Mus musculus: one gene and its partners. The protein of the gene in region 3 binds, or shares a complex with, the protein of the main gene of each other region. Links are inferred from orthologs where the notes say so. Each region holds a gene or a part of one and is shown on either strand. Other genes may lie near its edges. The genes, in order: Cirbp, Srsf1 and Tnpo3.

The links.
Region 1: the proteins of Tnpo3 (region 3) and Cirbp are in contact, whole or in part, in a crystal structure (PDB 8CMK), measured with the Homo sapiens proteins. The link is inferred for Mus musculus from reciprocal best matches to the Homo sapiens genes TNPO3 and CIRBP. Residues at the interface, in NP_036602.1 of Homo sapiens: Arg620, Glu660, Arg661, Cys663, Arg664, Arg667, Phe668, Arg671, Ser698, Cys699, Tyr702, Ser705, Ile706, Asp709, Glu710, Asp747, Asp750, Asp751, Arg754, Arg758; in NP_001271.1 of Homo sapiens: Tyr160, Arg161, Ser163, Tyr164, Asp165, Ser166, Tyr167, Ala168.
Region 2: the proteins of Tnpo3 (region 3) and Srsf1 are in contact, whole or in part, in a crystal structure (PDB 4C0O), measured with the Homo sapiens proteins. The link is inferred for Mus musculus from reciprocal best matches to the Homo sapiens genes TNPO3 and SRSF1. Residues at the interface, in NP_036602.1 of Homo sapiens: His155, Arg157, Arg160, Thr167, Tyr254, Ile256, Glu257, Glu304, Glu340, Ile341, Phe343, Asn344, Tyr347, Arg348, Glu351, His352, Lys355, Thr356, Arg620, Asn656, Glu660, Arg661, Arg664, Arg667, Phe668, Arg671, Ser698, Cys699, Tyr702, Ile706; in NP_008855.1 of Homo sapiens: Ser116, Arg117, Arg118, Ser133, Trp134, Gln135, Lys138, Asp139, Arg142, Glu143, Gly145, Asp146, Cys148, Tyr149, Ala150, Asp151, Val152, Tyr153, Arg154, Val172, Arg173, Asp176, Asn177, Arg181, His183, Tyr189, Ile190, Arg191, Arg198, Pro200.

The regions. Positions count from the first base shown.
Region 1 is NC_000076.6:80,164,025-80,173,470, reverse strand, and holds Cirbp (cold-inducible RNA-binding protein), read right to left. Parts: upstream 5,633-9,446; 5' UTR 5,555-5,632; intron 5,301-5,554; exon of another isoform or gene 5,054-5,300; intron 3,743-5,053; exon of another isoform or gene 3,664-3,742; 5' UTR 3,658-3,663; coding exon 3,555-3,657; intron 3,456-3,554; coding exon 3,349-3,455; intron 3,270-3,348; coding exon 3,131-3,269; intron 3,047-3,130; coding exon 2,965-3,046; intron 2,778-2,964; coding exon 2,707-2,777; coding exon of another isoform or gene 2,678-2,706; exon of another isoform or gene 2,490-2,677; coding exon 2,473-2,489; 3' UTR 1,816-2,472; downstream 1-1,815. Other genes in the region: protein FAM174C precursor, read right to left, coding at 297-505. UniProt on the Homo sapiens protein: Cold-inducible mRNA binding protein that plays a protective role in the genotoxic stress response by stabilizing transcripts of genes involved in cell survival. Acts as a translational activator.
Region 2 is NC_000077.6:88,042,607-88,052,377, reverse strand, and holds the start of Srsf1 (serine/arginine-rich splicing factor 1), read right to left. Parts: upstream 5,006-9,771; 5' UTR 4,540-5,005; coding exon 4,346-4,539; intron 3,889-4,345; coding exon 3,704-3,888; intron 3,336-3,703; coding exon 3,163-3,335; coding exon of another isoform or gene 3,109-3,162; exon of another isoform or gene 2,967-3,108; coding exon 2,772-2,966; 3' UTR 1-2,771. UniProt on the Homo sapiens protein: Plays a role in preventing exon skipping, ensuring the accuracy of splicing and regulating alternative splicing.
Region 3 is NC_000072.6:29,603,985-29,613,538, forward strand, and holds the start of Tnpo3 (transportin-3), read right to left. Parts: upstream 5,866-9,554; 5' UTR 5,502-5,865; coding exon 5,382-5,501; intron 1-5,381. UniProt on the Homo sapiens protein: Importin, which transports target proteins into the nucleus. Specifically mediates the nuclear import of splicing factor serine/arginine (SR) proteins, such as RBM4, SFRS1 and SFRS2, by recognizing phosphorylated SR domains.

The DNA of each region.
Region 1 (9,446 bases), on a different chromosome or scaffold from region 3:
TTAAAGAGACAAGAATAAGAACCAGTCGGCCGGGCGGTGGTAGCGCACGCCTTTAATCCTAGCACTTGGGAGGCAGAGGCAGGCGGATTTCTGAGTTCGAGGCCAGCCTGGTCTACTCTACAGAGTGAGTTCCAGGACAGCCAGGGCTATACAGAGAAACCCTGTCTCGAAAAACCAAAAAAAAAAAAAAAAACAAACAAACAAAAAAACCCAGTCGGCAGCCTGAATCACGTGCCCTCCCGCCCATTTCCTCCTCCCCCTGACTCACTAGATGCTGATTGGCCGCGCTAACGCACCTAAAAGCCCGGATGAGGAAGTAAAGCGAGATCAGGCCGCAGAGCCCAGTGATTACGTAGAACAAGCGGAGCACCGCGGAGCCCGTGTCCCTGTCCGGGAGCCTCCCGTTTGTGTGGTTATAAGGTGGGCCCGGCAGGCTGGAGTTTTCAGCGGAACCAGGGTTGCTACACCAGAGGAGCAGCAGCAGCAGCAGCATGCGTAGTGCCATGCCGGAGCTGAGGCGGAAGTGCACACAGCCCCGCCCCGCCCACAATGCCCTGCGCAATCCTAGGGTTGTTCATCTTAGCGCCTTATTATGGAGATGGGTGGACACTAAGACTCTTACCCGCTGCGCCCTAGTCACCCCTATCCCTGCCACGTCTCAGACCCAAGCCACAGAGTCGGGGGTTCTGGGTCACAGCCCTTTATTCAGGCAACCCAACCCCCCCCCCCCCGCCCCCACAACATTCTGTCCCAGCGACCACGCCAGCCCAGCTTCTTTATCTTTTCCACAGAAGCCTGCATCGCCCACGAGCCAGGTGCTAGCTCAGGAATTGCCTGGAAAAGAAGAGAAGAGATCAATCAGGGAAAGTCCAGTCCAGCTTCTAGGGGTGGGGGATCCCTCAACCCTCTGAGCACCCGGAGTGTCCAAGGACCCCAGGCCTTGACCTCGGGCACTCACCGGGCAAACTGTGTGCAGTCTATGGCTCCAGATCCTGTGGAACCCTCTAGGACCCAGAGTCAGCCATCCTCCCATGGCTCAGGTTGGCTCCCCTTCATCCTGCCAAACAAAGGCGCGTGACTCTTGGCATCCCTGTGGGCCTGCAGCGCCTGCCCTCCCACCTCCCACCCTCACGGCGCCCAAGTGGTTCGTCCCAAGGTGGCCATGCCCAGGGCGTCAGCGCCCTTTTGCAGCCCGCCTCGAGCAGAGCCGGGCTCTGTCCTGCTCAACAGCTTCACGGACTCTGGGCAAAAACTAAAGGCAGCAGCGCAGGTCTAAAGCCTGTCAAGCAAGGACCAAAAACATGCCCAGAAAGGCAGGGCGCCCGGTAGCTCTGGCCGGCCGCGTTATACTGGCGGGAGGTACCACCAGTTTGACTCAGACTTCCAGGAAGCAAATGTCAACCCCAAGTCTAAGTTTCTGTCCAAGTGAGCTATAAACCGGAGGGATGCGACACGAGCGCGAGCGAAAGTGTTACCTCGAGGCACAGGCCAGCTGCAGAGCTAGCGGGGGAGCAGCGGGCGAGTCTCGGAGGGTCTGTGGCTCGCGTCTGTCCCCCGAGGGCTGCGGCTTCGGAGGCTAGCAGAGAATGCCTGGAACTGGCGGGGCGCAGCCGCTAGGCAGCCTCGCTGGCCCTGCCTGCACCCGGCCCTGTACTGGGCGAGGCCTCTGCCGCCCTGCAGCCCCTCAGCACTGCCCACTCCCGTCCCCACTTGGCTGCTTGTTGCCTCCCGCACTGCCCTGCCTTCCTAGCTGCTCTGCTGGCCACGGAGCCGCAGCTCAGTGTCGGCAATGAAAGGGAAATGGTCAGAGCGAGATTCATTTCACACGGTCTTTTAATCGGCTTCGTGAAGCCAAAGAAACTGCGTACAAGAATTCCTCAGCCACTGTGAATACAACATCGATGGAGTATGCATGTCTTCGGTAAAAAAGGACAATATAAATAAACATTTCCACAGCCTCCCGGACTGCTATGCTCCCCATGGGCTTGAGACATGTGCCCGATGGGCAGGACCTGCTGCAACTCCGCAGCCGGGCTGGGGAGCTGGAGGGCCATGGCTTGCTCAAATCGAGTCCATTCCATCTCAGGAGGGGTGGGGCGCCAGACTTCAGGGGCGACCACACAAAAAAAGAAAAAAAAAGAAAAGCCACAACCAAAAAACCTGAAAAAACAAAAACGAGTAACCAAAACCCACACAACCCGACAATTTAGAAAAAACAAAAACCCATGGCTCATGGTAAACAGTAAAATCTGAAGTGCTTTCCAAAACGTTTTTAAGAATACTTAAAAACAGACAGCGCTTCCTTAAAAACAGGTCTAGTCACGAGGCCATCTTGGGTCAGAAGCAGGCTGCTGACGGGTCAGAACGGAAAGGACTACAAAAGTGGGAACAAGGTGCTCACTACACAACGATCAGCGAAGCTCCCCCATCTTAATTACAGCCATGGAAGGACGATCTGGACGCGGAGGGCTTTTACTCGTTGTGTGTAGCTGAGGACAGAAGCGGGACAGTGTAAAGTCACTGGAGCTTGTGCTCCGCCCGCGCGCGTGGGAGGTGGCACAGGGTTTCATGCACCTGGTGCCCTGACCTGTACGGCAGGCCTGGTAGCTGCGCCCAAGGCTGAGCGGCTTAAGATGCTCTGAGGACACAAGGGTTCACCGAGCCCAACCGCAGCCACTCAGATGGCATCCTTGGAGCTAGACTTACCATAACTGTCATAGCTGTCTCTGTAGGACCCTCCCGAGCTCCGATAACCATAGCTGCCACCCTGACTCCGGCTGTGGAAGGACACACATGGACACCCAGGCTCAGCCCCGTACCAGGTATAGTTGGCAAGAGTTGGTTCTCAGTAGAGAACAAAACCAAACCACCTACACTAGTCTGCCCTTCCCCTGGTGCACCCTCCTCCCAGGCCCAGCTGCCACCACCGAGGCTGAGCCTCCCCAAGGCTCCCATCTGGCTCACCTGGCATAGTAGTCTCTGGAGCCTCCATAACCCCCACTCCGGGACTCAAAGCGGCCACCTCCATAGCCCCGGTCTCCTCCTCCTGTAGATGATCGAGAACAGAGTCAGGGAGTCCCTACTCCTGCTGCAGTGCCACCACCAGCTGCCAAGGCACCCCAGCACTCACCTCTGGAGAACCCTCGGCCCCGGCTTCGTCCCCCACGGAAAAAGCCCCGGCCTCCAGCAGAGCCACCCCGGTATCCTCGGGACCGGTTGTCAGAAGACTTGCCAGCCTGGTCAACTCTGATCTGCCGCCCGTCCACAGACTGCAGGAGAAAGTTAGGGTCACTGTACCCGATTCCACACCAGACCTATCCAAGGTAAATTGGCTGACCTGATCCTCACCTTCCCATTCATAGCCATCATGGCGTCCTTAGCGTCATCGATATTTTCAAAGGTGACAAACCCAAAGCCTCGGGATCGCTGGGTCTCCCTGTCCTTTACCACCACCACTGCAGGAGAGAGACATTAGATGTGCCCAGTCAGCCCTCTGCCCCCCACCCCCACCCCCAAGTAGAAGCCGAGAACAATGATCCTGACCCAAGACTCACCTTCGGAGATCTGCCCATACTTGGAGAAGACCTGCTCCAGCGCCTGCTCGTTGGTGTCGAAGCTGAGTCCTCCCACGAAAAGCTTGCCTTCATCTGATGCCATGGCAGCCTATGCACACACCATAGATGTTTGCCTTAACCACCACCCCTTCCAGAAACTGAAGCCAAATAGCATATTTAAGAATATGCTTTTCAAAAAAAAAAAAAAAAAAAAAAAAAGAGTAACATATTTTATGTGCACTGGTGTTTTGTCTCCATATATGTCTCTGATGCTGTCAGATCTTGGGAGTTAGTTATGAGGTGCCATGTGGGTGTTGGGAATTGAACCTGGGTCTTCTGGCAGGCAGGCAGTGCTCTCAACCCCTGAGCCAACTCTTCAGCCCCCCACATTCTTTGCCTTTAAAAAATTGAGACAGTGTCTCCTTTTATAGTCCAGGATGGCCTTGGAACACCTGTAAGGATAAGTCACTGAAAGCTTTAAGGAGTTAAAGCTGCCTCTTCCCATCCCTTACCTACATATGTATGTATGTATGTATGTATGTATGTATGTATGTATGTATGTATATAAATAAAAGTAACCCACAGCTGGACATGGTGGTATATGCCTTTGATCCCAACACTTGGGAGACAGAGGCAGGCAGATTTCTGTGAGTTTTGAGGCCAGCCTGGTCTGCAAAGAGAGTCCAGGATAACCAGGAGTACACAAAGAAACTGGGGGGGGGGGGCTAGGGGGGAAGCATGGGGGTGGGGGGAGAGGACCCCATGGTCTTACTGGGAAACCTCAGCTTCAAGTGGGGTTTCTTTCACACCTCTCATCCAGCCATTCAAGTCACCGAGATGGGAAGATCAATGAGAAAAAGGACACTGTGGATCAGTTTGAGAGACTGTTTCAAAACAAATACCCATCTCGCCTAGCCTGTGGGAGTTGGAGGCAAAGGAACAGAATCCAAAACCAAATACAATTGCACAGCAAGTTCAATACCCTTCTGGGCTACACAAGAGGGAACTCTTTTTGCTTTTATCATCCCAAAGGCATATGGAATACTTTGTCATACAGCTGAGGCTAACCTTAAATGATTCTAGGTCTTGATTACACCTGGCCAGAGAATCCCAAGGTTAGGATCAAAATGGCATGGTCACTTTGCAAATGTGTGTGGTTGGGGACAGAAATGATAGTGACTGCCTACCCTCACTAGCATAGAGTTGTTGGGCCAGAGAAACTTCACTACTGAAATACGCTTTTAGGGTACTGTCTGGAGGTGTGCCAGTTGTGGGATGCCTCGCTTACTCAGCCAAGGACTAGAGAAATGTTTTTGCACGATGGACTCAAGGGAGAAAGGAGGTTGGCCCAAGAGGCGTGGCTAGCGAAAGGGGCGTGGTATCTAGACAAAGTCATTATTGGCAACCGACAACTTGGAAAATAAGTCCACTATACCACGAAACCAGTCTACCTTGGGGGCAATAAACTTGGGGCACAAAAGGACAACATTCAAGCCTACATGTGCTTTTTTGTTCCCCACGTGGAACCACAAGGGAAGAGAAAACCGAGGTAGAGCCAGCTGGAGTAAAAGGGTCGCACGCGACACAGCTCCACATCTGCGGACAACCGGACTTTGGAGGTAGGAGCGCCCCGCCCCCGGAGCAGCGCATGCGCCAAGCGCGCACCCTGCGCCATTCCATCCGGGCACTCGGCAGTCCCGCCATTTCGCCGGCGAAGCTTTTCAAAGCATCGCGGCGGCCATTTTACAAAAAAAAAAAAAAAAAAAAAAGCCCACCGTTAAGGTCGGCCTCGGCCCGGGGATGACGCGCGGTGGAGGACGCCCTCCGACAAGCGTGAGGCCCCAGTGTCCCGCTGCCCGCCTCGCCGCCGGCGGGGCGGACTCCAACCCGGGCCCGCCCCCAAGTCCCAGGGGCGTGCCGCTGCGGCTCCGCCTCGCCCGAGAGTCACAGGCCGCCCGCCGCCCCGGGCCCCTCAGAGCCGGTGCCGCCAGAGCCCTCACCGCTGAGTCGGGCAGGTCCCTGACGCGAGCGGGAAGACAGCGCGCCACACACACCCAAGCTTCCTAAGGCGCGAGTGCGAGGGGGAGCGCAAGAGTCCCGCCTGATATACTCCACTCCTGGAGCCACGCCCCTTAACCCGCCCACCACGCCGCGCTGACCAATCCGACGCCTTAGATTCGGCATCTGCGCCTCGGTGGAGGGGCGGGACTCCGTTGGCTTTGCCCTAGTCCGCGCGGAGGCGCTGAGTGTTTTGATTGGCTGGAATCTTTCCTGGCCGCATTTTTCCCCCCCACCCCCCGCCCGCTAGCGACTAGGAGGCGGGGACAGCTGATTTGGAGGCGGAGCTGACCCACTTCCGCGTTCCCGACCCGTTTGTCCTGCGGCGGGGAACAAAGAGCTTTTGCTACCTCAATGAGACTCCCAAATATGGCTCCAACCTTGACTCATCGACTCAACACTTTTATGTTCTTTTTTTTCTTTTAATATTTAATTACAGTTATTTAACTGAGGCGCATTTGTGAAGCCAGAAGACAGATGGAGTCTCTCCTTCCATCATGTAGGTCCTAAGGATCATACTCAGGATTAGCCACAAGCAGCTTTATCCACTGAGTCATCTTGCTTGCCCCTCTTCTCCGTTCTTGCTCATGAAACCAAAACCACCGAATTACTCTAGTCCAAAAGTACCTCCCAATACAACTGCTGCCTAACAGTTCTTTGGACCCCAAGGACACTCCATAAGATCAGCCCTAAAATTTCCATCCCAGTATTAATCACAATGTCAAGATTTTCTCTAGATTTCCTGCACCCAACTCAGTTTTCCTACAAATCTCAACCTGCTGTATAACGACCATTTGAACCCTGATTTCTGCCCATCTCCAACCAGGTGTACATTACCACACAGATGGCAAAACACCACTCTTTTCAATGTGTACCTGCATTTTCTAGAAGAGACCCCAGAGTCTCAAGCATGCCATGGAAGGATTTCTATCCTTGAGCCACACCCCTAACCCCTCACTGCAGAATTCTAAGTAGTGGCTAAACCAAGCTACATCCTTAGCCTTCTTAAACACACACACCACAGAGAACAAAACAAAAAAGTGTATTTTAATTTTATGTATATGGGTGTTTGCCTGAATGTCTATGCAGCACTTGCCTATCTTGCGCTGACAAAGACCAGAAGAGAGTGCTGGATCCTTTGGATGCAGAGGTCCAGACAGCTGTGAACCTTTATGTGGATTCTGAGAATTGAACCCACGTCCTCTGCAAGAGCCCTTTACCACTAGGCCATTTGATCCTTTGAGACAACCTACATTTTTCAATCTATCCTTGAAATCCGTAGGCTCACATCCCAAGTAGCTGTGATAACAGACCCATGTCTCCAGGCTACATTTTCTTCTCCCTCCACTGTGGTTTTGAGAGTCCTGAGTCCTGAGTAGCCTATGTAAGGATCCTTTTTTTTTTTTTTTTTTTTTTTTTGGTTTTTCAAGACAGGGTTTCTCTGTATAGCCCTGGCTGTCCTGGAACTCACTTTGTAGACCAGGCTGGCCTCAAACTCAGAAATCCACCTGCCTCTGCCTCCCTAGTGCTGGGATTAAAGGCGTGCGCCACCACGCCCGGTTTTATGTAAGGATCCTAACTAACCCCCATCTAAGGCAGTTCACCTCTCACTTCAATGGCTTCTGCTTAATATATGGCCTGAGGAACAAGCCAGTGCAGACATCTCCCTAGATATCAGTGATAGGAAATCCACACTTCAGCACTGCCCCTTGGAGAGAGTACAGTCTGGTGACTTGAGAACTGAGACATCCCAACCCTGCTTTAAGCCTCAGACTCACTGACCTTCAGATGAAGTTGGTCGAGGTGACCCAGCTGTCACCAGGAGAAGAATGCCAGGACCCCTCAGGGATTCGATGCTCCCCTCCCCCTAGACAGCAGCTGGTGACTCATGGCCACCCCCTCTGCACTTCGCTCTCTGCACGCAGCCCTCCTATCCCCGTCAGAGCAGCCTGCTGCGTCAGCCACTCACGCAAGGAGGTTATTAAAAAGAGCTGAGAGACCAAGATGCCTTCCCTCCCTCAATGTGCGCAATCCAGGAGGGGAGGGGATCGTGCCTTGCAGGGACCGCTGGACCACAAGCCAGCAGAGCCAGAAGCAACAGTCCTACAATGTGCCCACAGGAGGGAAAATTGGATCCCTGTAATCCCAGCTCCCAGGATCATGCTGGGCCCCTAGCCTGGCTCACATTCTGGCACCTTCCAGTTCCTGGTTTTGAGAATTGCCGTACTCAGTCTTTGATTCATTCATTCATTCATTCAACCAGCACCCACTTACTAAGCTTACTACTAACCGGCTCATTTGGGCCGGGCTCCACCATTACCCATAGCCATTTTCGAGCCCCAGAAAAGCGTGAAAATGTCTGACCCATGGATACGGCTTCAGGGTGCATTTTCTTTCGCCTTTGGTGTACTTGTGTCTAAAGCGTGTCCCGTGTACTTACCTGTGACCACGTGGACAGGTGGCTTAGCTTGCCACCATGACCCTTTGTTTCTTTTGGTGGGCTTTAAAGGAGTCTGAAACTCTCTCTTACACACACCTCATATCCACCAACGCTGTGAATCCCTGAACCACGGGCAAATCCCAAATAGTGCTCTCTGCCCGATAAGGACAGGAGAGGGCGCTACAGCCTCGGCTGGAGTGTTCAGGACTCATGTCCCACCTCTTTCCAGGCGGCCACCAGCTGCTTGGCCAGGCTATGGCCACTAGACGTCGCCATCGTGGACAGTTATCACTGACGGAAACCAGAGCTGTCAGTGTCAGTGCTGGTTTACCTTCGCTGTGCCCAGCTCGGTGGTAGCTGGACTGCACGCTCGAGGTTTGCTCCTGCGCGTCTGGGCAGAGCAGTTGGCCCAGTGTCGCCCATCGGGACACTAGTACTACTCCCAAAGGGATCCCATGTGTCTTGTATAAATCCGAGAGGGGGGCAGGGTGTCAGCTGCACCCCTAGAAGGCGAGTCCAGTCAGTCCTGATCTCGGGCTTACCCTGCACCCCACTCCGCTGCTGGGCGTCGCTATAGAGACGACGAGGGGTGACGCCTCCACCTCCCCATCCCCGGTTCTCCGTCCGCCCGCCGGGTCCTCCCGGACCCAGGCTAATGACCGGGCGGGAGATGGTAATAAGCGTCTGGGTTGGGGACGGGCGTGGCCCGGGATGAAAGGCGCGTTGGGGGGGGGGCACCCCGGGGCCCGGTAATTACCGCCCCCTTCTCGGCCGGGCGGGGGCCGGGGACACTGCACCTGGCCTCTGCCCGGCGGGGGCGCACAAGTGGGACCGTGATGGCAAAGCCTGGAACCCGCCCAGTTAGCTATCCCAGTTAGTTATCCTCTGGGACCAGAGCCAGGGTGGAAGATGCAGCCTATGCATGTGTGGCCAGGTGTGGCGCACATGTGTGCACGTGGGCAGAAGACCCGGAGGGACATAGATGGAAATGTAAGGATTCAGAGAAAACATCTGGATCCTGTGGACAGAGGAAATGGGTTTGTTAAATATGTGTGAAGAGGACACAGTCACCTTTGCATGACTGACCTGTTTTCCCTAAGGACAGGATGGGTGGGCAGGGTGCTGTGACGCCAACATACACGAACACAACCTGGATGTAGATGCAGGGTTAGGTGTACGTGACTGGGTGGGCCAGCACCCACGGAGGTAATGTAGCCATCTATGCCTGTGACTCACGTTCCTGGGTGGGCACAACAGAGAGCTGTGTCAGAGGCACCTGGGCTCTCCCTATTAGTGAGTCCAGAATCACCTGTAAGGGTTAAGCTTGCCTTTCTGCTACAGAGTGGGCTCTGATTTCTCTGCCACTCAAAGAGACTGCATTCTGCTTCTGGAAG
Region 2 (9,771 bases), on a different chromosome or scaffold from region 3:
AGTGAAATCCTAGTTTTGAACTTAAAAGAATTAGTTTCTCTTTCAGGACAGTGTATGCGGTCATTAAAATGAGCAGGCTGAGATCTCATGCAAATTTCTTGAAACCTGTTTCTTTCACTAGCAAAAATTTCTGGTCTCCCCTATATTCTACATTACATCTGAACAATATCATATTTAGCCTGCAACTCAAGGAAAGTTAAAGATCTAGCTATTTCTACTGTGGTGAATAGTGGTCTATTCATTCTAGCCAGGAGGAAATCACAAGCTTGGGATTTTAAATAAAAGTTCCATTCTCCAAACCAATTAAGATGAAGATTAAGCTTCAAGGGGTTATCAGTAGAGATACAACAGTAGACTAGACTAAGATATATATATAATTGCTGACTCAATACAGAACAGTTTGGCGACAGAACACTCTATGGCTGAAAAGATTTATAATGTATTTATTAACCCAATAAGCATTTGACAGCACACTATCCAAAATTTAAAAAAAAAAAAACTGTGTAGTCTATTTTGTCTCCTAATGTTAATACTGAATTTGAGTTCCACTGAGAATCTCAAAGCTAAAATTGATTAGCTATCAAACTTTGTACAAAAGCCTATTTTGTCTAAAGCATTACCAAAATAAACAGCAACTGTAAGTTCTTTAGCAAAATATGAAAGATTACTTTCCAGATCATTACCCTCTACACAACTGTTACGTATGTAACTGCCTTACACTCAGTTTATTATGCTCTTAAGACTTCCACAACAGAGACAGTCATCATTTATTAGAATCTTTAATTTACTAACACATAAACAGAATCAGAATCTTATCAAATTAAATAACTGATACACTAGTTACCCAATCAAAATTTTACAAGAGGAAAAAGGACAACCATGCATCGTTTTTTAAAAAATGTTTATTTTTTTCAAAGAAAAACGGCAATAGCCAATTGGAAACCTACTTATTCTTCAACTCCAATTTTGTTTTCTTTAAATTTAGAAGTGACTTACTGATTTACTATTTTAAACAAACCCCCCCTTTTCCCCTTTAAATGTTTACCATCTACTCGTGCTGAATCCTTCCAAGGAGATTGCTCCAGCGTATATCTCCAGGTCCTCGCTTTGCTCCTTTTACCAAAAAATGCAAAACACAATTCCATCGTGCATCTTAAGGGCTCCAATCGTCAAAAATAGGAAAAAAATTCTTTGGAATAGCCAATTAAGTTGAATGAAAAAAAAATCCACACGAATGCGGTTTGGTTGGGGCAGGAAGGAATCCACTCCTATGTTCCTGGTAATCTGATCCCGCTCCATGAATCCTGGTAATTCATCCTCCCTATCCTATCCACATTATGATTTGAATCCAATGATCCAGCTCCAAGGATTGGGATCCAGTGAGCCCTCTCCAATCCAAACCTTTATAACCAGCAAAACCAAAAAAGAGGAGGCAAAATGTTAGACACTGTAACCAAAAAAAGTTTCTGGGGAATGATGAGTTATGTCTGTCATCAGTTTACAGATGCACATCAATAACTATCAAATTCCCCAAAACAAGTTTCTGTATGGTGTTCAGATAAATTTTAGAAACTTAATAACTATAGAGACTAACTGGAAGAAGCACTTTATATTTACAGTTCAACTGATAATGCCAACACTTGTTACTGTACAGGTATCACAGGTTTTGTGGTTGCAAAGTTATATAATTGAAGTTTACTGGTATTACTACCCACCTAAACCTAAACTATTGCTCCCATCTGCAATTTAGCTTGTAAATTAAAGTGTTTTAAACATGAGTCAATTATGAATATTAAAAGGGAAGGTGAGACTTAAAGTACTCCCAACTAGATTATCTACACTAATACGTTGGAATTCTATTATTTTGCTGTCATTTTGTCTTTAAAAAATGAAATAACAATGCTCTATCAGTCACACAGAGGACATGCAGATTTAGCAGTATTGATATTATACTCTGTTTGGAAATTGACACCCTGTACCCACATGTACACCAACAGCAGGCCACACATTAACAGTTGTAACTAAGCACTGTGACAAATTAGCCATTCTTCCCACATTAGTCCCTATTAAAACAAAAAGGGGGGAAGGGAGCAAATAATTGTTACAAAATGGGCAATTCTACCACAATTGCCAAGGTTTTAAAAAGCAAAGCAATTGTAGCTGAAGATAACTGCATTAAGTGTTTGCAAATCTTTTAAGGTAGATAAATTTTTAACCCTCGCCTTCTAGTATAAGGTCAATACTGCCAATTTCATCTGTGACAATAGCACTTGGAGTCATACCATTGCCTCCATTATTGATCTGATCCTCCTCAATCCTCCTTTTGACAATCCTAAAATGATTGAAATGTGCTCCACAATCCTTAATCCAAAGCATTCTTAATCCATCTCTTCAGATATGTCTACAGAAAGACACATGAAAAGCAAGATAAACATAAGAACTTCCCCCAAGTAAGATAACCACAAACACCCCCAACATCCCATTTCACACAAACCAGAGCAGAATAGACATTTACATAATATCACAGTCTGAAGAGCATGGAAATTAACTAAATTTAAACAATCCTGTCTATGACATCACTTAAAATACAAGTTACCAAAGACATGAGGGGAATGTAGATGTTAGGAGCAAGGGGATATTACACAAGAATGCAATTCAACACTTTAGCCCATTCTGAACAAAACAGCTTGAATTAAAAAAATGAAAAGATTGTACTGAGTAAAGGAAAACTGTATACAACATGGGTTCTACAAAAAGTGTCACCAATCATCTTATGTACGAGAGCGAGATCTGCTATGACGGGGAGAATAGCGTGGTGATCCTCTGCTTCTCCTTGGGGAGTAACTGCGACTCCTGCTGTTGCTTCTGCTACGGCTTCTGCTACGACTACGGCTTCGAGATCGAGATCTTCCATAACTTGGACTTCTGGGCCCATCAACTTTAACCCGGATGTAGGCAGTTTCTCCCTATTGGATAGACAGAACTTTCCATTGAAAGATCTAAGCTTTCACCTGTCTTCAGACAAGCTGAACGAATACAAAGACAGATCAGGGCTCTGGTAATTTACGTGAACACCCTTGCCTGTATCCTTACCTTCAAATTCCACTGTTAAGAAAACTGTATCCAATTCTGGCCAAAAAAAAGAATAAGTGTATAACCTACCTCGTGAGATCTAAACTTAGTGTTATCCAGTTTTCGAACTGCATACGTCATATCTTCTTTCCGTACAAACTCCACGACACCAGTGCCATCTCGGTAAACATCAGCGTAACATACATCACCTGCCTCACGCATGTGATCCTTTAAGTCCTGCCAGCTTCCACTCGGAGGCAGTCCTGAAAAAGCGATTCCCCCTAATTTAATACTACTCATCCTGTCCCACGGCAAACGTGTAAAGTACATTCGAACAAGGATTATTTTAAAATACTTAATGATTGTACTTAAGTGTTTCCAGGTAAAGAGCTGGTAAGAGTCAGATCCAGAGTCCAAATTTATTTGTAAAGGATCTTCATAGGCTAGTACTGCAACCTAATTTGGGTAAATCACCACCACAGTAATCTTTATTTACTAAATTCATCCCAAAGACCGAAGTAGTCCAAGACCCCGTGTGTAAAACAAAACAAAAACAACAATAACAAAAACCTTGCAGTACTCAAAGCAGTCATGCGGGAAAAAGATTTTAACCCGCACGAAGTCAACTCACCAGAGACAACCACTCTGTTCTCGGACCGCCTGGACGGCGGGCCATAGCGGCCTCTCGGGGCGCCGCCGCCTCCACCCCCGCCGCCGCCTCGGCCGGTCCCGCGGCCGCTTCGGGGAAACTCTACCCGCAGCCGGTAGCCGTCGTAGTCGTAGCCGTCGCGACCGTACACCGCATCTTCCGCGTCTCTGCGTGTGATCACAGAAAGCGAAAGGGGGGGGTGATGAGGGGAGGGAGCCGCCGGACCCAGCTCGTTCGCCCGCTCCGGGGGTGAAAAGCCGCGGCCACAGCGCACATGCGCACCCACGGGGCCACACGGAGCCCCACATGCGCCGCATAATAGGGCCGGCCCTTCCCCCACCCAGCACCACGCCGGGCAGAGGCTCCCGACCACCTCGCCGGCCCTCAGCGCCTCGGTTTCCCGCTCCGGGGGCTGCGCATGGGCTCGGGGGGTAGGGGGGACGTCCGAGGCGGCCGGCCACCGGAGACAACGCGCCGCCTCTCGGCTCTCCTGACTCGACTCCTGCAGGGGCGATAGCGCCTCGGAGCCCCTCCTCTCCCCCCATTATGTTCCAAGGCCTCCGAGCCTTCCCCAACTCCTCCACGCTATCTCCTCAAGGCCGCGCACGCCCCACGCTGCCTCACCGCGGGTCCTCGAACTCAACGAAGGCGAAGGGCGGTCCCCCGCGGCGGTTCTTCAGGTCGATGTCGCGGATGGCGCCGTATTTGTAAAACACGTCCTCGATGTCCTTGGTTCGGATATCCGGAGGTAGGTTACCCACGTAGATGCGGCAGTCGTTGTTCCCCGCCGGGCCACGGATCACACCACCTCCCGACATGGCGGCGGCGGCGACGACGAAAAGCGCGGACTCGGGGGGGGGGAAGGAAAAAAAAAAAAAGAGGCCTTCCTACCAAGCCTAGCGTACGGCAGAGCGAGCCCTCAGCGGCACCACGTCTCCCGCGGCCGCTCCAAAATGGCGCCTTTATCAGCTCGGCGCACTGATACCGGGGGGGAGGGGGAGGAAGAGAAGCCGGAGGAAGCGGCTCGTCCCTCCCAGTGCGCAGGCGCACGCCTCTAACGGGTGCTGAGAAGCACGCTCGCGCACGCGCGACGTCACCCTCCGCACGGAGGGGAAAAAGTCCCTCGCGTCCTGGCGGGTTGACTGGCTGCTGGAACGTCCAGGCGTTTAGTAAAAATCACATGCTCTGGTTAAAGCGGTTATTATTAATCCCCACTGAGTCCAGAATCGTCGGCCACCTCGGGGGTAGACCCTCTCTGAAAGCAGCTCGGCGCTCTAAAAAGATTGGGTGAAACCTATCTTGCAAGCGTGTCCCACCATGCTCCGCGGTGGTAACGGCCTTTGGCGGGAAAGGCGCCGCGGGGCGGAGATAGATGACGCTGAGCTGTTGCTCCGGAAACCTGGGCATCTTCTGCACTTCGGTGCCGCCGGCGGGAGTTGCAGGTGATTTCATTTAAAAGCCGAAGCGGAGCAGTGTGGCTTCTGCCTCTGGGAACCTGCGGTGGGCTGCATCTTAGTTAAAGTGTCTAGACGGATCCTCCATATCTATCTAAATGAAAACTGTGCCTTGAGTTTTCCTCTTCCTCCTTTCTAAGGATGAAAAAGGAAGAGTGATAAAACAGTTTAACTGCAGAGCCGAGATCCCGGTTCTGTGCTGGTCTAGGGAGATTATTTATTTATTTGTTTATTTTGCCAAGATTATCTGCAAAAGGATTCTTGCATTGGATACCACAATTTTGCTTCTTTGTTTTGTAATAACGGGAATAGAAGAGCCTTACGTGTGAAATCATACGGCCTTGTAGTGTTGTTAATGAACTCGAATTATAATAAAAGCAAACCAATCTGGACTTAAGCTTGTGTGCCTGAAATCCTATCACTCCGGAAGCTGAGGCAAGGAGGGTCCAGCCTACCCTGTTATACACAGTTCTAGTAAAGGTTATCCCGGAGCCAGGCAGTGGTGGCGCATGCCTTTAATCCCAGCGCTCGGGAGGCAGAGGCAGGCGGATTTCAGAGTTCGAGGCCAGCCTGGTCTACTGAGTGAGTTCCAGGACAGCCAGGGCTATACAGAGAAGCCCTGTCTCGAAAAACCAAAGGGGAGGCGGGGGGAAAGGTTAGCCCGGGACATTCAGGGAAACCCTTTCTATTAAAAATATTGAAAAACAAAACGTTTTCTTGGTGTTGTTTTTGTTTTGGGGTTGTTTTGTTTGAGACACGATTTCTCTGTGTACCCCTGGCTGTCCTGGAGTTCCTGCCTTCTGAGTGCTGGGATCAAAGTCACTACCTCCCAGCTAAAACCAGAGCCTTTCATGATTGGATAGAGACAGCCAGGCGTAGTGGTAAATGCCTCTTGAAGTTTTTGGGAAGCGGAATTTCAGGGTTCAAGGCCAGCCAGAGCTGTGTCGACCCTATCACTAATAAATATGCTAAGTCGGATCCCCACAGGTTCTAAGGGTGATTCTTTATACTGTAATTTTTAGTTTTTAATTTTTATGTTATGCATATTGTGTCTTGGGGTGGTGGGTCATGCCATGGCCCATGTGTGAAAGTCAGAAAATAAGGTGCAGTTCACCACTCATGCCATGTGAGCCCCCGAGATGAAACGTCAGGCTTGGGAGGAGCACCTTAACCAGATGAGTCACTGAGTCATTGCTGCCCCTGGATGTTATCATTTATTTACAACAGTCCAAGGATGTGGGGCTGCTTAAAATGAAACCATTAAATATTAAGACTGGCTGGAGAAATCAAGGACAGTGAGAGTGGGGGAGAGGCAGAAGTGATGTATAAGGTTTCTAGGCAAAATGCCTGAAGAACTTGTTGAATTTTGGGAGATCTACTGCAAATTTGACTACTCTCACCAGAAGTCACAGTAAAGAAGAGGAGAGCATAATATATCCAATTTTTAAGCGATTTTAAAATCTAAATAGTTCAGGGGAAAAAAAACAGTTTTTTGTTGTTGTTAGTCATAAAAGCATGGGAGCCCACATCAGTAATCTCAGCCCTCAGGAGATTAAGATACCAAGGAAAATAGTGAGCTCACTGGGAGTCTACCCTGCTTCAAAAACAAAGCCAGCCGAGGTGGCATACACCTTTAATCCCAGCACTCAGGAGGCAGAGGCAGGGGGATTTCTGAGTTCAAGGCCAGCCTGGTCTACAGAGTAAGTTCCAGGACAGCCAGGGCTACACAGAGAAACCCTGTCTCGAAAAACAAAACTAAAAAACAAACAAAAAAAATATAATAAAATAAAGTAAAATTTTATATTTTTTTAACATTTATGCTAATATTGACCTCTTTGGTGATAACTTTGTTATTTTTACTACTAAAAAAAAAGACAAAGTTCTAAATATTCAACTGACCAGGCAGTGGTGGCCCACGCCAGCACTCGCTGGGCAGAGGCAGGTGGATTTCTGAGTTCAAGGCCAACCTGATCTACAGAGTGAATTCCAGGACAGCCAGGGTTACACAGAGAAACCCTGTCTTGAAAAACAAGCAAACAAAAAAACAAACAAACAAAAAAAACCTAAATATTCTGGGAAAAATTGACTTGGTTTTTGTTTTAATTACACATATTTTCAGAAAATGAAAGAAATAGTACATATCTTTGTTTTTTCATCTTTAATTGCTCACTGGTTATGAACATAATACTGGTTAATTTTGTGTTATTATAATAAAGTATCTGAGGTTGGGTAACACTTCAGAAAGATTTATCCAGTTCAATGACCCATTTATTTCTATGGCTTCTCTAGTAGGCCTTGCTAAGCAGTACATATCTTTTTATTTAGTTTATGTGTGTCTCATTTCGCCTAGTTAAATTATGTTACCAATAATGAATACTGATTATTTACTGACTGTTCCTTGAAAAATGTAGAACAGTGAGCAGACTGTTGTTTCCATGGAAACTTGATGTTGCTGTCGATAGATAGACAATGTTCGTAAGGATTGATTTCATTCCATGGATAACAAAAGCCACTTTTGAAGCCCAACTAAGACATCTAAAAATACTGCCATGGTATAATTTTATTCCAGGACTGGCTTCCTTAATTCTTTGAGTCTTTCTGCTTTCTTTTTGGCTGAATTAGCCCATCTTTGTTGTCCCATTATTAACAATATGACTTTGCCAAAAAAAAAAAAAGTTCCTAAAATGATCTGTAACAAAAAGATTATCTTCAGTATGACTTGTTCCTATATTAATTACTATTCTAGCTCTTGTCTTCCTTCCTCTTTGTCTTCTAAGGTCAAATTCAGTTCAAGTTGAACACTTCCTAGGTGAACTAATTAGGTTTTTTGTTTGGTTTTGGTTTTTCTAGGCAGTTTCTCTTTGTAGCTCTAGCTGTCTTTAAATTCACACTGTAAATTAGGCTGGCCTCAAACTCAGAGATCCACTTGCCTCTGATTCTGGGATACCAGCACTGGTAATTATTGAATTTTTTTTTTTAATGCTGATGAGTCTTTTTTGGGGGGCCTGAAGATGTTACCCCAGGTGGTCTGAAGTGCTTCATCATACCTGGCTGCAATTTCTTCTTATAATGGGGTGAAAATAAGTGTGAGGTTTTTTTTATTGTTGTTTTTGGGTTTTTTTTTTTTTGTTTTGTTTTGTTTTTGTTTTTTGTTTTTTGGTTTTTTTTTGGTTTTTCCAGACAGGGTTTCTCTGTGTAGCCCTGGCTGTCCTGGAACTCACTCTGTAGACCAGGCTGGCCTTGAACTCAGAAATCTGCTTGCCTCTACCTCCCAAGTGCTGGGATCAAAGGCGTGTGCCACCACCACCTGGCAGAGTTAGATATTTTCACTGCTACTTGTTCATAATCCTGCCAAATACAAAATTAATGTTGATAGCAATATTTATTTGAGGTTTTGAAAGTGTGACCTTCTCCCTCTTTTATTGTGTTTTTTAAAGATTTGTTTATTAATTATATGTACGTACACTGTAGCTGTCTTCAGACACCCCAGAAGAGGGCATCATATCTCACTATGGATGGTTGTGGGCCATCATGTGGTTGCTGGGATTTGAACTCAGGATCTTCAGAAGAGCAGTAAATGCTCTTTTAGATTTATTTTTTTATTTTATGTATATGAGTACACTGTAGCTGTCTTCAGACACACCAGAAGAGGGCATCAGATCCCATTATAGATGGTTGTGAGCCACCATGTGGTTGCTGGGAATTGAACTCAGGGCCTCTGGAAGAGCAGTCAGTGCTCTTAACTGCTGAGCCATCTCTCCAGCTCCACAGTAAATGCTCTTAACTGCTGAGCCATCTCTCCAGCCCTTTTATTGTTTTTTTAAATACTTATTTGTTGGTTTTGTTTTGTTTTGTTTGTTTTATTTTTATTTTTCTAGACAGGGTTCTTCCATGTAGCCTTGGCTGTCCTGCAGCTCACTTAAATCATAGAGATCCACCCGCCTCTGCCTCCTGAGTGTAGAGATTAAAGGTGTTTCCACCACCTCCTGGCTTTGTTAAAGATCCATTTCATTTTAAAAGTATAAATATGTCTTTTTTTGTTCATGCACAAGTACAGTGCCTGTGGTGACAAGAAAGGGGCAATGAGTCCCCTGGATCTGGAATTACAGGAGATAGTAGGATACCCAGGAGCCCTAGGACCTGAACTTGGGGTGTTCTACAAGGGCAGCACTTTCTGTTAGCCACTGGTTTTGTTTGTTGGTTTTTGGTTTTGTTTGACTTAGTTAGGGTTTCCATTGCTGTGAACAGACACCATGACCAAGGTAACTCTTAGAAAGGACAACGTTTAGCTGGGGCAGGCTTACAGGGTCAGAGGTGGGAACATGGCAGTGTCCAGGCCCACATGTCACTTGGGGAATGGAGAGTTCTACATCTTGTTCTGAAGGCAAACAGAAGACTGTGTTCCAGGCAGCTAGGAAGAGGGCCTCAATGCCCACCCCTACAGTGACACACTTCCTCCAACAATCCACATCTCCTAATAGTGCCACTCCCTGGACCACGCATATTCAAACCACCACATTGTTGTTGTTTTGTTTTTCTACTTTTGTTTTGTTTTTTGTTTTCTTAGACGGGTTCTCACTCTGTAGATCTTGCTGA
Region 3 (9,554 bases):
CACAAAATTAAATGAAAACCTACACACCTGAGTTCCATCACCTGTCCTCACTCCCCCACGCAGCAGCTAAACACAGGCTGCCTAGTTTATAATCTCCAGGCACAAAACTAGGAGACTGCTCAAAGTAAAAGTGACCCAGAAAAGAATGAGCAAAGGAAGACAGTAAGGGACAACATGGGCGGTAGCCCATCCTGAAGCTAAAAGAGAGGAAAATCAAGTTCAAGGCTAGCCTAAGCCACAGTAAGATCTAGACCAACCTGAACTATATAGCAAAATCCTGTTCCAACTACCACCACCACCCCCTTTCACCATTTCCAAGGGAAAAAGTTAAGACAAGAGTTAAACATTGGGGGCTGGAAAGATGGCTCAGAGATTAAGAGCACCGACTGCTCTTCTAAAGGTGCTAAGTTCAAATCCTGGCAACCACATGGTGGCTCACAACCATCCTAACAAGATCTGACTCCCTCTTCTGGAGTGTCTGAAGACAGCTACAGTGTACTTACATATAATAAATAAATCTTTTTTAAAAATTTTAAAAAAGAATATTAAAAAAAGAGTTAAACATTGTAGCACACTATAATTCTAATAGGAGGCAGAGACAGGAGGACCCCCAATTCAGACAGCCTGGGTTACATAATGAAACTCTAGCCCATCTCCCTCACCCCACCCCAAAAAAGCTGGAGAGAACTTAACCTTAAAAGAATAAGGTTTTGAGTTTGAACCCTAGAACCCACATTTAAAAAGCCAGGTACCAGCATGGGGGAGGCAGGGACCATCTGGCTAACCAGACTAGCTTTCTCTCAAAGGAGTTGGACATTAGTTCCTGAAATGACACTCAAGGTTGTCCTCTGACCTCCAGACAAATGGAAAGACAATAAAAGGTTTAAGGTAACCTCAATTATCCACCAAATGAAAGAATAATTCATGAAAATATTATAAAATCCAGTTATCAGTAGACCCAACACAAGAAAGAGGTGAAGGAAATTCCCTAGGACAGTGTTTAAAGAGGGATTCCCAGGACAGTTAATTAGGAAACAGAACCAAGACAGATGAAAGATTCTACATATTAAAGTTATCAGAAAGGAAATAAATAAATAAACCCACACCTGGGCAGCTCAATGGTGGCCTCCACCTTTTATCCTGGCACTGGGGAGGCACAAGCAGAGGCAGTCGGATTTCTGAATTTGAGGCCAGCCTTGTCTACAAAATGAGTTCCAGGATAGCCAGGGCTACACAGAGAAACCCTGTCTCAAAAACCCCATACCTGTGTTAAAGACTCTATAAGGCTCAATGGCTGATTAAAACTTCTGATGATATTAAGTTAGAATGATGCAGATACAGAGCCAAATTATCTTGCACTATTTTTAACCCCCTCAATAGCCATTCATTGTCCTTCAAACTTCAAGGTACATTCTTAGCAAACCACTAACTTCTACCAGTCCAAAGGCTAAAAATGTTATCAGTACCTAAAACCTACTCAGAGCCAATTGTGGTGACACATGCCTTTAATCCTAGCATTTAGGAGGCAGAGGAAGGCAGATTTCCATTGAGTTCCAGGCCAGCCAAGGCTGCATACATAGGAAGACTGTCTCAAAACAAAACACTTCTAGAAAACAAAAGACCTACAGCAGTATCCCTGTTTCTTTCCTATAACCTGCTCATCCAAAGGCCCACCAATAAAACCCATAAATTCTGAGATTTGACTTTCCTTTTTATTTTTTAATTTCTCTTTCTCCCCCCCCCAATCCCCGTGTGTGTGTGTGTGTGTGTGTGTGTGTGTGTGTGAGTATGTACACAGAAGGGAGCACCAGATGCCCTGGAATTTGAGTACAGGCAGTTGTGAGTTGCCAGAGAGGTGCTAGGAGGCAAACACTGACTCTCTTAGCAGTAAGGACTCTTAAGCACTGAGCTGTATCTCCAGCCCCACTCCCCTGTTCCATAACTAATACAATCTCATGTCACCAATTCCATCGCACAACAAAATAAAGGCACTCTGAATTCATGTTTGTAGACTATGATCATTCATATTTGACTCAAGTCAGTGGGGTGAGGGCTATTTTGGGAGTTGATAAATCTTAGGGCTACAAGCTTATTTCAGGCAACAAATTTCCTGTTTTCTATAACAGGAAAATAGGTTATCAATATGAACATATATTGGACATTTTATACTGTGGACATTTGGGAACAAATGGCATATATATATAGAAAACAAAACAAAAAAAATTTTAAAGATACTAGCAAGCACAAAAGACTTTTAAATTTTAAAGTAAAACTTAAGTTTTGATAAGAATTAAAATTATATAGGACTGCAAAATAATAAAAATTCAAACACAGGGTTACTTGAAATTCTTGAGCCAGAAAACAGTAATTAATGGATTGTGCTCAGAGAAGGATATCTGAATAGTGATTTTGGTAATGACAAGATCCAGGGTACAACTACATGACCTGAAGAAAATAAAGAAATGAAAAGGCCAAAGTGATAACGTGATTGTTCATTTAAATGCTCAAGTTAGGCACTTGAGAAAGACAGACTGTAGCCACTTGCTGCCCAGCCTGACCACTTTAGTTAGGTATCTAGAACCCACATGAGAGAACTGACTTCCACAAGTTGTCTTCTGACATACACAAGTGTGTCCACACACATAACACATAATAAAGAAATGGACACCCTGAAGCTGACCAAATGATGATGTACAAGCACGTTGGGTGTTCTTCACCCCTTTTCTACATCTTTTCTGCTCCAGCAGACTTTCTCCCCTTTCCCGTCCCCCACACCTTGATTCAGGGTTTCTCCACATAGTTCTGGCTGTCCTAGAATTCATTACATAGACCACACTAGCCTGAAACTCAGAGATCCACCTGCCTCTGCTTCCTAATGTCCCCTGGATACTAGTTGGCTTGATCTATAAGGAATCCCAGAAGAACAGAGTCAGCAAATAAATTCTTCCAGCTCCCTCACTGCAAAGGACCTCAAGTTTTGTCACCAGAAACATGTCATTCTCCCTCAAAGAAGCTAAGTAACTGCTCCTCTCTCTCTATTCCTTCCAGAAGAAAATAACAGTTTGGCTAGAGGTTATAATTCTATTTCTTCTGACAACAGTGTACCCGCAGCTGTATAGTGTGTTTATAACAAACCCGCCTGGGGCATGGAAAGGAAAGGAGACCTGTAGGCCTGCCTCTCAGCTCTGGACATGTTACATTATCAGCATGAGTATACTATGTGGTCAGCACAGGCTTGTTTGCTTGTTTCCAATTACCAACATCTAGTTACTTAGAGGCTATATTGTGAGTTAAAGGCCAGCCTAGAGAACTTAAAAAGTTTTTTTTATCAAAATAAAAATAAAAAGGATGGGAATAGAGCTTAGAGATTAACAATTTGCACAACATGTGTGAGGCCTTAGGTTCAATCCCTAGTATCTCTCATTAAAAAAAACAAAAACAAACAAACAACAACCAAAAAAAAAAAAAGAAAAAAAGAAAATTCTCCCAACTAATTATTCTGTCAAGTTGGTCATCTCTTCCTGTTGAGATTCTACAATGAATAGACACACAGAATAATTGGAACTAAAGGAGAGGAAGGTGAGTAACTCAATCCTAACATACTTTAAGCTCTATGCTGAAGAATGTCTCTCAGCTCTGGACATGTTACATTATCAGCATGAGTATACTATGCGGTCACCACAGATTCATTTGCTTGTTTCCAATTACCAACATCTAGAACTTGTTTGTCCATGATAGGTTCTCCAGTACTGATTTAAAACACAATCAGTAGATACAGCAAAGAAGAGCTCACCTAGTAGGTTACTTATATGTTAGAAAACTGTATGAGGGGCTGGTGAGATGGCTCAGCGGTTAAGAACACCGACTGCTCTTCCAAAGGTCCTGAGTTCAAATCCCAGCAACCACATGGTGGCTCACAACCATCCATAACAAAAATCTGATGCCCTCTTCTGGTGTGCCTGAAGACAGCTACAGCATATACACATATAATAAATAAATAAATCCTTTAAAAAAAATAGAAAACTGTATGAAGAACTGTAGAGAACTGTAACTCCCTCGTCTGCAGAACTAAAAGCTACAGGAGGCCTACACGGGGAGCCTACACTGAACCTTTTTTTTCCTCCTCCATTTAGCCCTAATTGTCCTGGAACTCTGTAGACCAGGCTGTTCTGGAACTCAGAGATTAGCCTGCCTCTGCTGAGATTTAATCTCAGCTGAGATTAAAGTCGAGTGCTTCCACACCCAGCAAAATTTTATTTGTCTTCCCACAATATAAACAAGAACTTGAGTGTCACATTTACATGCAACCATCAGAGTTAAAGTGGCAAATATTTTTTTTTAATTATGTACTTGCAACCTAGGGGCTTATTTAAGAAGATACAGCACCATTAAACATCAGTTATGAGTTAAACAGAAAAGGGAGAGCAAGCATTTCATGTTTGTGAGTATAAAATGAAATAATGAATAAAGGGTGAAGAGAGAGAGAGAGAGCTAGAGATGTAGGCAGGACTGGATCCCCAGCACCAAACACAAGGAAAAGAAAAAGAAAGTAGGTACTTAGTCTGTTAAGAGGCTCCTTAGTTTTCAAAGAATTTCACAGTTCATAGACTAAAACCTAAACACTGTCAGCAAAATCACAAGCTATTAAAATTCATAAAAAATAAAAACATAGCAAAGGTGAGTGTGAAAAATCATGGAAGAAAATACAAAGTGTGAGTCAAAAAATGAAAAAACATGAGCCCAAAAATTTAACATGTGGAAATACGATAGATACAACACACACTCCACCACATGCTCACAAAAATATGGACTAATTAATATAGCTATGATAGCCATCTTACAAATAAAAACGTACAGGCAGAAGAAATACAGTAGGAATCTGATATAAAACAAAAGAACTACAAAGATTTCCTGAAACCATAACTAATTTTTCTTTATATTACGTTGCACTCCAATGAGAGGAGAAAATTTGTACGAACACGAATCTAGAAGCCTGAGAAATTTCGAGAATAACACGAATGAAAATCGGCAAGGGACACTGAGGGGTGAGTAAGGCTGCCAAAGGGAAGGTATTGCCAGATGCAACTCTTGAATACGGAAGGTGTACCAAAAGCACTTAAAGGAGAGCCAGACCACAAGCGAGACGTACAGAACTACAAAACGGATTCCACAGACGAGGGAAAGGGCCCGTTCGTGACCAATCAGTTGCCACTGGTTTCCGAAAGGCAGCACATCTGTGGCTGCTCAGCCCCACCCCGCGGCACCAGCTCCTTCGGAAAGAGGATCTCCCACTGCCAAGCGCTCCACTCAAGCGGAGAACCATCCCATCCCACTCGGCCCTGGTCCCGCGCGGCTCAGAACGGACTCTCCCCGAACCTCACCGAACGCTGCAGCTCCCCAAGCCAAAACGAGGCGCGCTCCTTTCCGCTGGGATCCGGGTCGTGGTAAAGCGCTTGCACCGCCTGGTACACGAGCTGCAAGGTTGGCTTGGCTCCCTCCATGCTGGCGGGAGCGGCGGCGATGACAGCAAAGAGCCCGATACTCCTCCCTAGGCTTCCGCTTGCTCTGCCTTCAAGCGTCCTCACTGTCTCGGCCACAGCCGCTCCCTGACTGGCGCCATCTCCTCCTTTCTGGCCGTTACCAGGGAAGGGGGGTTCCTCGTGGAAGTTGCCCCCTCGGAAACAGCGGAGAGGTCGCTTTCAGGTTCCTGCCTCCTTTTTGTCTTGTCTTCCCGCCAGAATCGCAGACTCTCGAGTCCGGACACGGGTTCTGGCTTCTGCACCTCCCGCCTTGCTCGCAGAGGCCTACCTCCGCATGACACGAACCACGCAGCGAGCCGAAGCAGGGCTTCCCCGGGCCGGAAGTGGCCGTCCGTAGACTTTGGCACACTTCCGCCTGGTGCACCACAAACTGCCTCCTTCCCGGCACGCCTCCTCTTGTTTCCCCCGCCTCCTCCCGGAAGTGACCCTGCCGGACTAGGAGAACCAAGGGGAAGTAGGCACAAGGTAGTCAGTCTCCTAGGTGCGTAAGTCTTTATTTGAGCTTCAAGTCTGGCTACTCTTAACGTTCCTGACCAAATCTTATCTCGTCAGCAAGGAATCCAAAGTCTTTCCTCCCGGTTCCTACTTCTTCACCCGTCTCCAAGGAGTGTTTAAGAAACATCAGTTCAGCCGGGCGTGGTGGCGCACGCCTTTAATCCCAGCACTCGGGAGGCAGAGGCAGGCGGATTTTTGAGTTCGAGGCCAGCCTGGTCTACAGAGTTCCAGAACAGCCAGGGCTACACAGAGAAACCCTGTCTCAAAAAAAAAAAAAAAAAGAAAGAAAGAGAGAGAGAGAGAGAGAAAGAAAGAAAGGAAGAGAGCCTGTAATCTCAGCTCTTGGAAGTTAGCCACAACACCATCAGGAGGAATTCAAGACCAGCCTCTAATACGTGGAACTCTGTCTCTTTAAAAAAAAAAACCAAAAAAAAAAAAAAAAAAAACAGCCAAGCGGTGATGGCAGACAGGTTTAATCCCAGCACTCTGGAGTCAGAGGCAGGCCTAACTCTTGAGTTTGGACCAGCCTAGTCTACAGAGCAAGTTCCTGGACAGCCAGGAATACACAAAGAGACCTTGTCTCAGAAAATAATTAACAAATAAATAAATAAATGACAAACAAAATCAACTGTCTAGCAATCCTCAGTTAACATGCCAGTTTCCCAATATTGCTGCTTCACTAAAAATAACTGTTAGTATCTAATGAAGGCTGACCATGTGTAATGTAATGTAATGTAGTGAAAGATTAACAACCTTCCAAAATAAGTCCTTTTTTAATGAAATAGTTTTGGTTTGCTTATTTGTTTGTTTGTTTGTTTGTTTGTTTCGAGACAGGGTTTCTCTGTGTAGAGGGCCCTGGCTGTTCTGGAACTCACTCTGTAGACCAGGCTGGCCTCGAACTCAGAAATCCGACTGCCTCTGCCTCCCGAGTGCTGGGATTAAAGGCGTGCGCCACCACGCCCAGCTCTAATGAAATAGTTTTAAAGACTTATTTTTATGTGTATGAGTGTTTTGCCTACATATTTATGCATGTGCAACTTGGTCCTGGAGGAGTTACCGTGTGAGCTGCTATATAGATCCTGAGAATTGAGTGTGGGTTCTCTACAAGATCAGTGAGTGTGTCAACTCTCCAGCTCCTAAACCTCATTTTAAAAGATGAGAATTTAAAGCTGTTCATGCTGGACCATATTTATAATCCCAGCACTTGGGAGGCAGAGACAGGAGGGTTGCTGCATATTTGAGGCCAGCCTGGGGTTCTTTGTGTGGTTCTGGTTGTCCAGAAACTCTGCCTTCTGGGTTCTGGGATTAAAGGCATGTACCTCCACTGCCCAACTAGTCACAAGAATTCTTTTTTTTTTTTTTTTTTTTGTGGTTTTTCGAGACAAGGTTTCTCTGTGTAGCCCTGGCTGTCCTGGGACACACTCTGTAGACCAAGGTGGCCTTGAACTCAGAAATCTGCCTACCTCTGCCTCCCAAGTGCTGGGATTAAAGGTGTGCACAATCACTGCCTGGCAACCACAAGAATTCTTAAATGAAAGCTGGAATTTGAGCTGGGAGCCCTGGAGGTTGTGGGGTGAAGGGTGAAACATGCATTTAATCCCAGTACTTAGGAAACAGAGGCAGGCAGAGCTTATATGCAGAATGAAGTCAGCCTGGTCTACAGAGTGACTTCCAGGACAGTCAAGGCTTTACAGAGAAACCCTGTCTCAAAAGCAAGCAAGCAAACAAACAAAAAACAAAGACAAGCAAAAAAGTTAATACTATAAAACTCTTGGATGAAAACAGGTATACAGTTATGACTTTGGATCAGGCAATGACTTCTTAGCTATGCTACTAAAACCAGTCAAAAAAGAAAAAGGTCACTGGAATTCATCAAAACTAAAAACTTTAAGGAGTCAGAGAGATGGCACTACAGTTAAGAGCATGTATTGCTCTCACAGAGGACCTAAGCTTGCTTCCCAGAACTCATGTGATAATGTACAAGCATCAGTAACTTGTAAAAGTAACTTTGTTTTTTGAGACAAGGTTTCTCTGTGTAGCCCTGGCTGTCCTGGAACTCACTCTGTAGACCAGGCTGGCCTCGAACTCAGAAATCCGCCTGCCTCTGCCTCCCAAGTGCTGGGATTAAAGGCGTGTGCCACATGCCTGGCAAAAGTAACTTTTATTAGCCATATGTAATTGTCAGCTTGGAGGCTTACTACTAAATAAACTCACTCTTTCTAGTCCTTTCTGAACTCTGGCTGGCTGGTTCAACTCCACTGTTCTGGCTCAAAATTGTTTTTCAAAATGACTGATTCAAACTGGCTTCTCTCAGCTTCTCACCGAATTGTTCTGCTTGGACTCAAACTAACTCTGGCAATATTCAGGTTCCTTATTTATTCTCTAGCTCACTCTTCACCTAGCTTGTTTTCTCTGCAACATGTCTCTGTAAAACTGTCCCATTAACCCCCCCCCAATACTGTTGTTGCTCTCTTAAGTAACCTCTTTTCCTCTCCAGTTCTTGTGAGAGTTGGTGTATTCTACCTTTGACTCATTCTGTCAAATCTTTCTCTGATTTGTCACTTTGTCTGCCCCTCGAATAGATGTCATTTCAAACATGGCTGCTTCCTTCTATAAACTAACCTTACTTTCACTGTTTGGAGTTAAAAGTGTGTGCTAATGGTATGTCTGTGTCCCAAACAGAGGGACTAAAGGTGTGTGGCCTATCTGCATTCCAGCAAGATCACAAAGACCTAGAAGGTCTTTGGATGTGATCCCTTGCCAGAACAGCCATGTTGCTGGGCTAAAATTCCTCTATAGTAACTCCAATTCCAGGACCCACTTCTGACCTCCTCAGGCATCAGGCATGAACATAGTGCACACACATACATGAAGGCAAAACCACTAATACACAGAGAGTAAAAATAAATAAGAGTTATTAAAACTTGGGCTAGGGACGTCACTCACTTGGTAAAGAGCTCTGGAGCCTGTACAAAGCCCTGGCTTTGATCCCCTCACTACATCAAGTGTGGTGGCACACACTTATAATTCCAGCACTCCACAGTAAGATGCAAGAAGATCAGAAGTGCAAGACCATTTTTAGATACTTAGTAAGTTTGAAACCAATCTGTGACTTATGAGACCCTGTTTCCAAAAAATTAGGTGAAACACTCTAGATTGAAGGGAGTAGGATGGCCATCTAAAAATATTTTAAACTAAGACCAGACTGATGGATGAATAGGAAACTAATGTAAAAAGTATTTCAGTCAAAGGCAACAAATGTTCAAGTCTGTAGGAAAAAGAGAAAGGTGTATTTTATAAAGTCTATAGGCTGAAAAATTCTACACCAACTGGAAGAAAGACTTGATACTTACCAAACACATCCTACATATCTTTGTGTCCTCAAGAGATTGCTTAAGGTGGTAAGTGAACAGAAATTGCTTTAAGTGTCTTTAAGCTCCTTAGAGATTTCTCTTAAAGCATCCTAGCTTGCAACACTAAATGTCTTGGGCAAGGACAAAAATAATAAACTATTGCAGC